3 linked regions of the Drosophila melanogaster genome follow. The protein of the gene in region 2 interacts with the protein of the main gene of each other region in a pairwise test. Each region holds a gene or a part of one and is shown on either strand. Other genes may lie near its edges. The genes, in order: RluA-1, CG1394 and rtp.

The links.
Region 1: the proteins of CG1394 (region 2) and RluA-1 interact in a two-hybrid assay, tested with the Drosophila melanogaster proteins (one large-scale study listed by BioGRID).
Region 3: the proteins of CG1394 (region 2) and rtp interact in a two-hybrid assay, tested with the Drosophila melanogaster proteins (one large-scale study listed by BioGRID).

Annotation. Positions count from the first base shown.
Region 1 is NT_033779.5:10,471,265-10,476,152, reverse strand, and holds the start of RluA-1 (RluA pseudouridine synthase 1), read left to right. Parts: upstream 1-1,803; 5' UTR 1,804-1,871; exon of another isoform or gene 1,872-2,005; intron 2,006-3,667; exon of another isoform or gene 3,668-3,826; 5' UTR 3,827-3,981; coding exon 3,982-4,677; intron 4,678-4,888.
Region 2 is NC_004354.4:11,169,264-11,172,309, forward strand, and holds CG1394 (uncharacterized protein), read right to left. Parts: upstream 1,416-3,046; 5' UTR 1,247-1,415; coding exon 743-1,246; 3' UTR 548-742; downstream 1-547.
Region 3 is NT_033777.3:5,235,467-5,239,236, forward strand, and holds rtp (retinophilin), read right to left. Parts: upstream 1,850-3,770; 5' UTR 1,794-1,849; coding exon 1,766-1,793; intron 1,708-1,765; coding exon 1,407-1,707; intron 1,201-1,406; coding exon 933-1,200; 3' UTR 626-932; downstream 1-625. Other genes in the region: Mms19, read left to right, coding at 1-262, 377-568; CtsF (cathepsin F), read right to left, coding at 2,425-2,690, 2,747-2,928, 2,988-3,731. UniProt on the Drosophila melanogaster protein: Plays a role in promoting axonal degeneration following neuronal injury by toxic insult or trauma.

The sequences.
Region 1 (4,888 bases), on a different chromosome or scaffold from region 2:
GCCCCATAGCCAGTGGCCATTAAATGTTGCCTCAAATGACGGGCAAGCCTTTTCTTTGTTGTTCGCTTTCGTGACCAACCGCGTTTCAAGGAGACCTCCACTCCACTCCACTCCATATACCCGTAGACCATGGCGTCGGGATCTGAATGGAATGGCCCGTGCGAAAGTGGGTGAGTTTCGGAAAACAAAAGTCACGCAGTCAAACACGCAATTCGCGGAGCCTTAGCCCAAATTTGATCAAACATAATGCCTTCTGTATTTTGGTTAGTTGCTAATTGGAAAAAATTATTAAAACTAATCCAACTATCTTTGAGTTGTTTCAATAGTCCTTGCTTATCTAAGGATCAACACGAGCTCGCTTGATTTAGCTTAATTTGTTGCCTACTTTTTGGCGCTCAAAAACATGGAACCAAACTTACAAGGATAAAGTTGCTTAGATACTGAAACAAAAATTATGTTTTTTTAGATTATAATAAGAATTTCTTCACTTCCACAAGATCTACGTTACGAATTTCACTTTTGGTGAATCAGATCTTTTATACTTTTGTTTCGCTCATCATCAGCCTCAACATTCTTTTGTTCATTTTCACTGTGTCAATCGGAAAAGGCAAACGCATTGTTTTCAGAATATATGTACATTCATGTTGGTATGTAATTTTTGAGGAATTCTTTCGAATGATTATTTGGTGCAAGTCGTAACTGATATTAGAAGGTTGTGGCTGCAACACCAGAAGTATGATTTTGAATATGAAATTGCTTCGAGCATTCCGAAAAAGTGGATTTTATACGAGTAATTGTGGGTGTGCCAGAGGACACTTACCATTTGTTTAGGGGAATTGTGTCAAATGGTCCCTGTGGCTTTGCACATCAGTGAGTTGATAGAAAAATTCAAGAGCAACTTACTCGAAGTCCTATAGAATTAAGCTGACCACTTACACAATTTTGTTTTTGAAGAAGTTCTTTACAAAATTAAAAAGAAGATGAATTGCTAAATTTCGTATGTCATAAAACCATTGCGATACTAATTTCTGGCCTAATTTGTAAAATCCTTTTTATTTTACAAAAATGCTAATACAGTCATGTTGGAATGTGTTGCAAGCAGGCAATCGCATGTTGCATGTTGCAGTTCCATTTCGAGTGCAACCACAACCAAGTCGCCCGACTTTTTATTTGAACGCGAAAGGTGAATTTTGGATTAAGGCCTTAAACCACAAAAATTAATCAAATTAATGGTTAATTCAATGGTTTTGGCAACAATTAAATGCTTTACCTAAGTAGGTCTTAATTGGTGCACTTCGAAATAGACATTCTAATAAAACGCGTAATTACTCGTCAAAGTATTTTATTTTAGTAATTGAATTATTTATTTATTTATTTTGCTGTTTGGCGCATGAGACAAGATTTTTAATTATAAGAGTTCCATAAACTTGATTTTAAATTATTTTAGAAGAAATACTGCTAGAAAAAAAAAACTACATTTCATGTAATTTATTGACAACTTACCATTGCATCAAACAAGTTACAAATTCACCACTATACAGTGGACCAAAAATGCATTTTATGGGTAAGAATAAAACTGTTTGGGAATAATATATTTATTATAATGTTAAAGTTTTTAAATTTGTTTTACCATATTGCAAAACCGGCTCGAGATTTTCGTAAATTGAATCAAACATTTAAACACCTGATCCTACCAAACATTTTAAAATTAAAAATGCGGTTTGCCCCACTGTGCAGCGGAAAATTCACCACGACGGCGAACGGCAACCCAAGTTTGTTATGTTTGCGCCAAGTTTTCTGATTTCATTCGGTGTTTTGGACTCGGCGAGACTGGAAGTTGATGCTGCCGCGTGAATGCCATCGTCGGTCAGGTATTAAAACGTGACACTTCTAATTCGCGTGTGATTCCCCCGAGTTTGCAGTCAATTTGTGATCAGAAAACATTTAAAATGCGTGGTTTACTTTGTGAAAAGATCTAATAACACTATGAAACTTAAATCAATGTGCAAGTGACGGTTATATAAATTAATTATATTAATTTAAAGCATAAATAATGCGAAGAGCCTGCAAATAAAGTACACTAAAAATACTCAAGGAAACATAATTTTTGTCGACATAACTCGAACAACATAATAGTGAATAATCAACGGCGCCGACATTTTGGCTGAAGAATACAAATTTTCATAAACGACAAACGATAATTTTCCATAACCAATAATATTATGACACATTTTATTGGATTTTAGTGGCTGAAACTATGGAACTTTGAATGAAATGATTCAAATAATTGGGCATATGTTAGAATTCATTGCTATATAAACCGATTATTATGCGCTTATTAATAGGAAAAGCAAAACTAAAAGAAACATTCTCCATCGGGTCGCAAAACGGTCCATTAAAATTATTATGTTGTGCTCTATGAAATTCTATGAGCCATTTTAGTTTTGTATTTTCCTTACCAACAGTTTAGAAACGAATTTACCTTCTGCTGGCGCAGATATACAAATTTTCTTATAAATATAGAAGTATCTCTCACTAAATTTGTTGTTCTTGCTTTTAAGCCCATGATCTATTGTCATCCTGGTGATTTTGAGATCTGGGGACTTACACATGAAACGTTCACACGAGCGCATATATAGGATGATTTTTTTTTTTTAAATATATTTTTTCTTCCCATTGTCTACACATAATATAGTTATGCAAGCATTTTGTTTGAGAAATGTACTAAAATCACTCGAAAAGATACACAATTGTGGCTGATAAAATGGAACTAAGACAAAAGACGACTGATGACAAAAATGAATGTGGCTATATCTCTATGTCTCTATGTACATACATTCCTGCGTCTTAAGGCACCGAAAATCTCGAATAATTCTTTGAAATTCTGGTATCTTGTCGATACAGCCCGAGTGGACCTAGTAATATACAAAAACTTAATTTAGCACAAGCTGCTAGCGCAAATGAAAATGTTTACACGTGCGCATTTGTGCCATTTGTCTCAGTAGGTGGTGAGGTATATATGCACGCTATATATACATATGTACATATATATATACCTGATTCTAAACATTCTAAATCGTGAGCCGATATCCTCCTAATGCCTGGTCTCGTATACGTATTATTCCATCCATTACACATCCAAACAGTCCAATATATAGGCACCCCCATACGCATTTCTTCTTGCCAGAATTCTGACAGACGCATGTACGGTTCCGAATGTAGGTTTATACGTATTCTAGAGGATATATTAGACTTTGTCTCGTGCAATTAGAGTAGCCAAGTAGCAGATGGCCCCCGCGTGTATTCCAAATGTATTTTCAAAGTATCCATTATCGTTTGGCTTGTATTTAGCAAAAGGAATCTACAACTCTCATGCGAATAGAAATTCTTTGATCCAATAATGCTCTTGTGTATGTATGGCCAATGAAAATATTATTGTTAAAAAAATATTAACGCGCACACGATAGACAAAGTTAATGCAGTGCAAAAGCTAATCAACATATTGTTCCGACTTTTGTGTGTGTGTGTGTGTGTGTGCGATGGGCTATTTTTTAACGCCAATCCGCTAATAGAAACCACAAATTAACGCATTTCGTGGAGCCTAATATGCAAGCTTTGGTATAGGTGTTCATAAACACTATAAAAAATAAATAAGTCGTTTGTTTAGGTTTTTAATTCGCATTATACAAGCCCGAAAATCGCTTCGACTTTTCAAATAAAACAGTCGAAACAGCATATGTACGGCCAAGACAATTTGTAAACACGTACAAGTACACAAAACGATTTGTAATTGACTTTAAGAGCCATAATGCTATCGCAATCGAAGTAAACAACAGATGATCGTATAACTCGGGAATGTATCCGTGAAGTTTTCTATCCGCAGCGATATTAATGTCATTTTCGATCAACAACAAAAAAAAACCCATCCAATCTGCAGTTTCCTCTCAGTGAAGTGAATAATTGCCCAGGATCGTGTCAACAATGCAGAATTCTCCGGCTCCGTGTGCCTGGTACTTGCCCTGGTCCCTGGCCGCCCAGCAGCACCAGCAAAAGATGCTGCAAATGCAGTCGCCGTTTCTGGACAAGATGGGCGCCACATCGGTGGGCGGCATCTTCGCTGGCCAGCCGCAGATGCAGCAACAATTGTCGCCCAATACGGCAGCAGCACCGCCGGCAAACTATCAGCAGCCCGCTTTGCATCCAAGCGCCGCACCAGGCGCACCACACTTCCACATGGGATCCCCGTATAGCCATCTGGCACCGCAGCTCCTCAACGCCGGACAGCTGAACCAGAACGCACTGATGCACTCCGCCATGTTCTCTTCCCTGCCACTTGGTGCGTACTATGCACCCGCCGCCGGCGCAGGTCACTCGGCCTTTGGTGGCGTTCCCCTGACCACGGCTGCCCAGCAATCTCTATTGGCCGCCACCGGAGGAGCAACTGCTGGCCATTTGGCCAACCAGCAGACGACGGCTCAAGTGCCCGTCCAGGTGCCCGTGCAAATGGCCCAACGGACAGCTCCGGCCGCCTGCTCCATGGTCCAGCCACTTAACTGCCTGCCGCACCAGGAACTGAATCACCTGTCGTCCATCAATCTCAACCTGCTGCGCAGTCCGGCGCCTCCGCTCCCAGCCATTCAGGTCTTGCCAAGTGCCGAGGTGCCGATTAATAAGAAGGTGAGTTGCAGTTTGCTTAGTACTTGTAATGATAGGCACTATTCGTACTTGAGCGAAGGCTAGTACTTAAATTACGTAGACAAGTGCACTGAGGCAAAATATCAGTAACTAACTTAGTGGTACAATAATATACGAAAGATAGTCTCACATGAAACTATTATCTTAATGATGGAAATATGTTACGTTAAAGGGTGGAGCAGTTTCATTGCCT
Region 2 (3,046 bases):
CAATGGGCATACCCATTTTTTTGTAAGTGCATCTCGTTAGCGTGTTGAGAAATTGCCATCTCATCACTGTGACAATCAGCCACGCCCTGTGATACGACAAAAGGGGCGGCAGGCGTTGTATTTGCATAGTTAGAAACGATGAAACTTGTATTGTTTTTTGTACTTTACAATGCGAATCTCAAGAACATATATTTATACGAAGTGCTCAAGATAATCATACGGTGGAAAATTGGGTCTATTAATCTTATAAATGGTTTGCACCTAGTTATTTAAATTTGATTTGTTTAAACTAAATAGAAAAATCGAAATATTTACAATGTAAGCTTGATTTGTGCTTTAATTATTTGTATAAAAAATAAAACTTCAATATTTGACTGCCGAGTGAAAATAACAATAGTAACCTTTGCCATACATCACATTTTGCCTATTTAGTAATTAGCATATAAAATATATGCGATTTGAGTTTACAACGCTCTTCTCACATTCAATTTGCCGCACGTTAACTCATCTCTGTATTTATTAATGCAATTAACCCACCCACCGATTTGTGCCAACTGATTATTTTCATATCTTATGGATTTATGACATTTATTTTATACATTTTCGCCAAGTACGAGTCGTTTGAGCTGCACAAAACGGACGTTTGGTTCGAAAACTAATTGTGTATGTATATGGCCCATATGCGATTCACTTTAGTCGTTCGGTGAAGATGCTCGTGCTGTCATTGTTCGTGGCATCGATCCTACCAGAAGCCACCCTTGGATGCACTGCCTCCGCCGTAGTTCATGCTCATGTCCATGCCGTTGTAGGCGCAGAAGGCTTCGCCATTGTCGATGCACGGTTCATTTCGTCCGGGTATGTCTCCATATATTGAACGGTCCACGGGTGGCGGCACTATATGCTGGGCTCCTGTAATGGGCATGCCACACGACATGGCACCCGGCATGGCACCCGGCATGGCACCCGACATGGCACCCGGCATGACGCCCGGCATGGCACCCGGCATGGCAGCCGGCATGCCACCGGCTCCTCCGGCGTATGGTAGCATGGAGTGTGCCTGAGCTGCGCCCTGGCTAGGCCAACCTCCTAGTCCGCCGGCTGATCCTAATCCTGGTGCTGCTGCTGTTGCTGATAGTGGTGGTGGAGCGGCTGCTCCAGCGGCAGAGTGCTGCATGAAGTCACCCATCTGCGGATAAACGGGAGCATTCAACGGCTGGCCATTCCAGTACGAAAACGAATTCGACATATTGTGAGTTGCGGTTGAGTAAATCCTAAATACAAATAATTTGGGAAAGTGGTGAAAAAGAAACAGTTTTTCTTTCGATTTTTTTTTTTTTGACCAAATAAAAGTTGTACAAAATTTTGCTCCGCTGAACGGTGTTTACTGTTTGGGATCTAAAATATAACTGATAATCTGGAGCTCCGGCTGGGGTACCTCGATTTTTCGGCTTGACATTTAATTTCATGGATATGTTGATTGGAAATTTTTGGAAATTTTTTTTCGACCGATTGCAGTTGGCCATGAAAATACATACGATATTAAATTGATTGTTTTACCTTGGCACATATTTTAGGTTTAGCTCTTCCATAAAATGCCTAAGAGTAAATATATTTTCTAAATATTTTGAATAGCAAATTATAAGTTACCATAGTATATATGTACATCATCGTAAAATATTTGATTTATTAACCTGACATAAGATTGTTCATAAAGGTTTTTGTGCTTCTAATTCAGGTCATTCCGTGTTATTTAGCATACAATTTTATATTGTGATAAATGACATTTCTTTTTATTTTCATTTCATCTTTTTGCTCTTGAGTCTTGATTCCTATTTCTATGATTTTTTTTTTTTGGTTTAGCCTTGTCGGAAAATGGGGGCGGTGGGCGACCGAGGGGCGTGGCATGGCCAGCGTTGTGTTTAATTTTTGAAAAAGGACGCCAACTGTCGTGATGCAGCACAGATGATAATGACGAAGACGCGGCAACAAACGTTTATTTACACACTGGGTATTAAATGGGTATTAAAGACTTGGTACCATAAAATAGAAATAAAACATTGTGCATCTAATTACTTTGCTAACTATAAAACAATTATAAAACTGCATTAAATTCGATTAAAGTAATTGAACATTTTGGCAAATATAAGCAATTATATGCTATTTCGTGTTTAACTTTCAACTTGATCTTATAGCCCATCTAACACGTTTTGATTCACACATGATTGGCATTTAAATACGGTATTTTTAAGGTTCTCACCCTCTTGGCCATTCACATTCCACTTGATTCTTGTGCCAAGCATAAAATGCAAAACACTTGAACTGAGTGAAAACGAAGGCGAAAGCAAAATAAGCAACAACAAAATGTCTCATAAACCAACCAGATGCAGTGAAAGAAAATTCATACTAAAAATATATACATATATAACAAATGTACAGTATAAATTATTACTTTATAGTTCTAGTTGACAATAAGGAATTAAATGTTTCAACATTGCGTATGCTTAATATTCAATGCTGATATTGCGTATACGCAACGTTGGCCGCATTTTATTTTTAACTGTGCCTGCGAATATGAAGAATAAGCAGTAAGCTGAGAGAAAAATAAAAGAACGCAACATGGCAGGGTGTTGATAATGATAGCAAAGACAAAGGCCCACGCCTAATGGGACACGGAATGACGACTGAGGGGCGATGATGAGGCGTTGGCCGGATGGCAGGATAGCTGGATGCTTGGATGGTTGGATGGTTGGATGACTGTAAGGCCGGGTGACCATCCGACTGTCATGCCCACGTCCTTGACGCGCTGCAGTGGCGACAACGTAGTTAAATTGCCTGTCCTCGGCCGGCGTCAACATTGTGTCATTGCTAGTATTAAATCAGAGCCAAACAAATGATGATACATAAGTGCGACACAAGTGCGCAAAAAAAAGAAAAAAATATACAAACACAGCGAAGATTAACCGAAATGCTGGGTGGGAAAATTAAAATTACAGCACATAGCTTTGGTGCACTGAAAGAAAAATCCAGCACATTTTAATATTCAAGG
Region 3 (3,770 bases), on a different chromosome or scaffold from region 2:
CAACTACTGTGTGCACCACTTGAAGGCTTTTGTCTACGTACTGAAAGCCACGCCACAGGCGGTTATTAAGCTAAACATTGAGCAGCTCGGTCCGCTGCTTTTCAAGAGCTTGGAGGAGCACAACGAGGCGCAGTCGCTGTGCATTGCATTGGGCATCTGTGAAAAGTTTGTGGCGCAGCAGGACACGTATTTCCAAGGGCATTTGGCCCACCTCATACCCAGCTGTCTGGAGCTGTCGAAATACAAGGCTCAGCATACCATGGTAAGTTAAACATGCACATATTATTATAAAGATTTGATAGTTAATTGAGGAGGTTTCTTAACTTGTAAAGGAAAATGTCGAACACAAAACTTAAACTCATTTTCTTTCTTATAGCAAGTGCGAATTGCGGCGCTGCAGCTGCTCTACGATGTGACAAAGTATCCTACCTTCGTCCTGTTGCCCCACAAAGTCGATGTTACTCTGGCCCTGGCCGCCGCCTTGGATGATCCCAAGCGTCTGGTGCGGAACACAGCGGTGAAGGCCAGGAATGCGTGGTACCTGGTCGGTGCGCCTAGTCCGAATTAGCAGAGAAACAACTCCGTTCTTGTTAATATTATAATCCAATAAGCACACGCACAAATTCTTCATAATTTTCTTGTTGTTTTTATTAGGGTGCGTTGAAGAATTTTTGATAAAGAATTTGGAAAAAGCAAAATTATAAAGTAAACGCGAAATTGTATGCATTTTATATTACTTAGATACATTTACGAACGTTTATGCGCAAATGTATTAAAGTTTAAGATGTTAAGAAAGAAATGCTTATTTCTTTTCTTAAAGGCACCTTTTTCTGTTTTATGACTTGAGACTCTTACAGTCGGTTACTAAAATTTGTATTTTTAAACTGTACGTGTTTATCAATACCAACTGGTAACCAATCTGAAGTGTCTGTTCAGTATGGGTGTTCGCACTGGGAACGGGCCATAAGAGCGCACTTTTGTGCACGCTGCACCACCTCGGGACATCGACGTCGTCTCATAAAGCGGCAGTCTTGAAAGAATCCCTCGTTTCTGGGAAAGCCGTGCGTGAAGTCCTGGAACGTCAGCAATCCCAGGCCCCAGATCTTGCCGCCTCGAAACTCGCCCTCGTACTTCATTCCATCGGCTCTCCAGAAGATCCCATTACCATGAAACCAGCCCTGATGAAACTCGCCTTCGTATCTGTCTTAAAAATGTGCAAAATGAATCATCATATACAATTTTCTTCACTGGATGCAAACCCTAGGTAAATTATAGCTAAACCATTTCTGATCAAGAATATATATACTAGCATTTCCTCTTACTCCCCGAGTAGTGGCTACAAGAATAGTTTTCAAGTGCTACAATATTTCGTTTAGGTTTACATCACTAATATTATTGAAACTGACTTTGCTCCATCCGCGAACCAGAGGCAGCCCACTCCTTGACTAAGACCCTCCTGGAACTGCCCATCGTAGCGGGTGCCATCGGCGAACTGCAGATGCCCGATGCCGTGCTTTTGGCCACGCTGGTTCCACTCGCCGATGTAGCGACTGGCGTCCTCGTATCGCCATCCGCCCACTTTGACCGCCCCTGCGCTGTACTGGCTTTGACCCTGGCCCTGTTGGTGGTGTCCATGCTGACCCTGCTGGTGGGGGTGCTGTTGGTGCTGGTTCTCGATTCGGGCCGTGGTCACGCCCACGCTGCTCACTGGGTAATGATTTTTACGCAATTTTGTATCTGCATCCTTTTGTCTGTGTTCACTTACTGTCATCATCGTAGTCGTCCATGGCCATTGCTCCGCTACCGCCCGCGATGCGCTTCAAGCTGCTACTGAGCTGGCTGGTTCTGCACCAGAAACACTCATTTTCTATGGCTTCCCACGGTGCGACGGCCCTGGTCTAAATCTAATTAACATATTGCACTTCTACACACTGACAAAGTGTTTGAAAATCAATCATCAAAATCACTGGGTCAAATGTTCCAGTAATTGAAGCAGTTATAAATATTTCTTAACAGCCAATAATACTCTGGCACCCATATTTAATCAAACCATTTTAATCGAATAATTTGAATACATCTCACATAAATTCAACATTTTTCTTGATCCAACCAACCATCAATCTTGACCAACTGTTGCTGCGGCCAGAGCTGTCATGGATTCAATAATAAACCCAACCAGGTTTTAATTCTTGTACAATTTATTGTTATTTTCAATTAAAGCGGAATATGTGGATGCAGACTTTTTCGTGAGATTACAGATGTCTGAAATGATTATACTATATAGGCGAAGCTTTGAAACTCAACGACTCCTTATCGTGACGGTTGAAGAACATGGAAACAGAATTAATTGTACACAAAGTTACTGGCTAAATTATTAACCTAGATATAGTCGTATGCTTGTATATAATTGGACTCAAAGCAAGTCTAGGCCAGCACAGCCGAAGTGGCCATTTCGCTGACGCCGCAAGTGTTGTCACCACGATAAACGCGATAATAGCCCTGCTCTCCCCAGCGCGGACCCCACGAGTTCTTCACAATCCAGTAGGGCAAGGTCTTGTGGAAATTGGGATAGTCGGAGACGCCATACCCCACAACTAGAACACCGTGGTCGAGGTTTTTCTTGGAGCACAGGGCCTTCCACGGATGGGAAACTCCGCCGCGATAGAACTGCATAGCATTCGCATTGATGCCTAGAGAAATGATCTGGTTAAGTGGGCTTTGGGGTTAATTTTCTGCATCGACTTACCGATCGAAATGGGACCATTGGCGAGAAGCCACTCCTGCATGGCGGTCTCATTTCCCTTCGGCAGATCCACGAAGCCGGCAACCTGAACGTGGGACAAAGTCCTGTTGAAGTGGCACTGATTCTTTTTGGCCTTGTATGGGTACTCAGCCTCGTACTCTAGGCCGCCAATATCCTTAATGGCCCTGCGGAGGAATTATTACATAAGTATCTACATCGTAATGTTCATTCCCTCGTAACTTACTTGTAAGCATTGTCCATGAGGCCGCCGTTGCAGGCACTATCCGTGGTATCACAGTCCAGCAGCTCCTGTTCGGAGAACTCTTTCAATTCGCCCGTTTTCACTGCGTACAGGCCTTCGATGTTGCCGGTCACACTGAAGGCCCAGCATGAACCGCAGGATCCCTGATTCTTCACCTGGGTGACAGCATCCTTCTGCCTCCAGTCAAACTCCTTCGGCAGTTCACCATGGTAAGCCGGTACGACAGCCGCCGATCCGCCAGTGGCCTTTGCCTCATCACGCTGCCAGAGTCCCGTGCGTTCCTTGTATTCCGAGCTGGTCATATCAGCAAACTCCGTGATGCCGTACTTGGCGCTGCCCATCTCGTTGGCGTTTAGCTCCTCGATAGTCTTCAGGTTCTGACGGAAAATGCGCAGGCGCATCTGGCGCTCGGCGGTGCTTACGTAGCGACGGCCAAATCGCACCTGGAACTTGTAGAAGAGGTGGTCCACCTTGTCAAAGCGATGGCTGTGCTTCTTGTGCGTCTTCTTCTCGGCCCACTCCACGGATCGCGTGTGTCGGGCCTGGACCACCGGCTGGTTGCGGCACTTAAAGGTGATTTCGTGCTCATCCTTCCTCACCCAGACCTTTGTCCAGATATCCACGATACAGCGGTGCTGCTCCTCCGACCCGTCGATTAGATCCGCATCGATGCGGGTCAAGATGCCTGAATCCACTTGCCGCGAGGCTGAGTATACTTTCACAATTCTAGAGCACAGCAAACGAGCGAGTCAATTATAATGAATC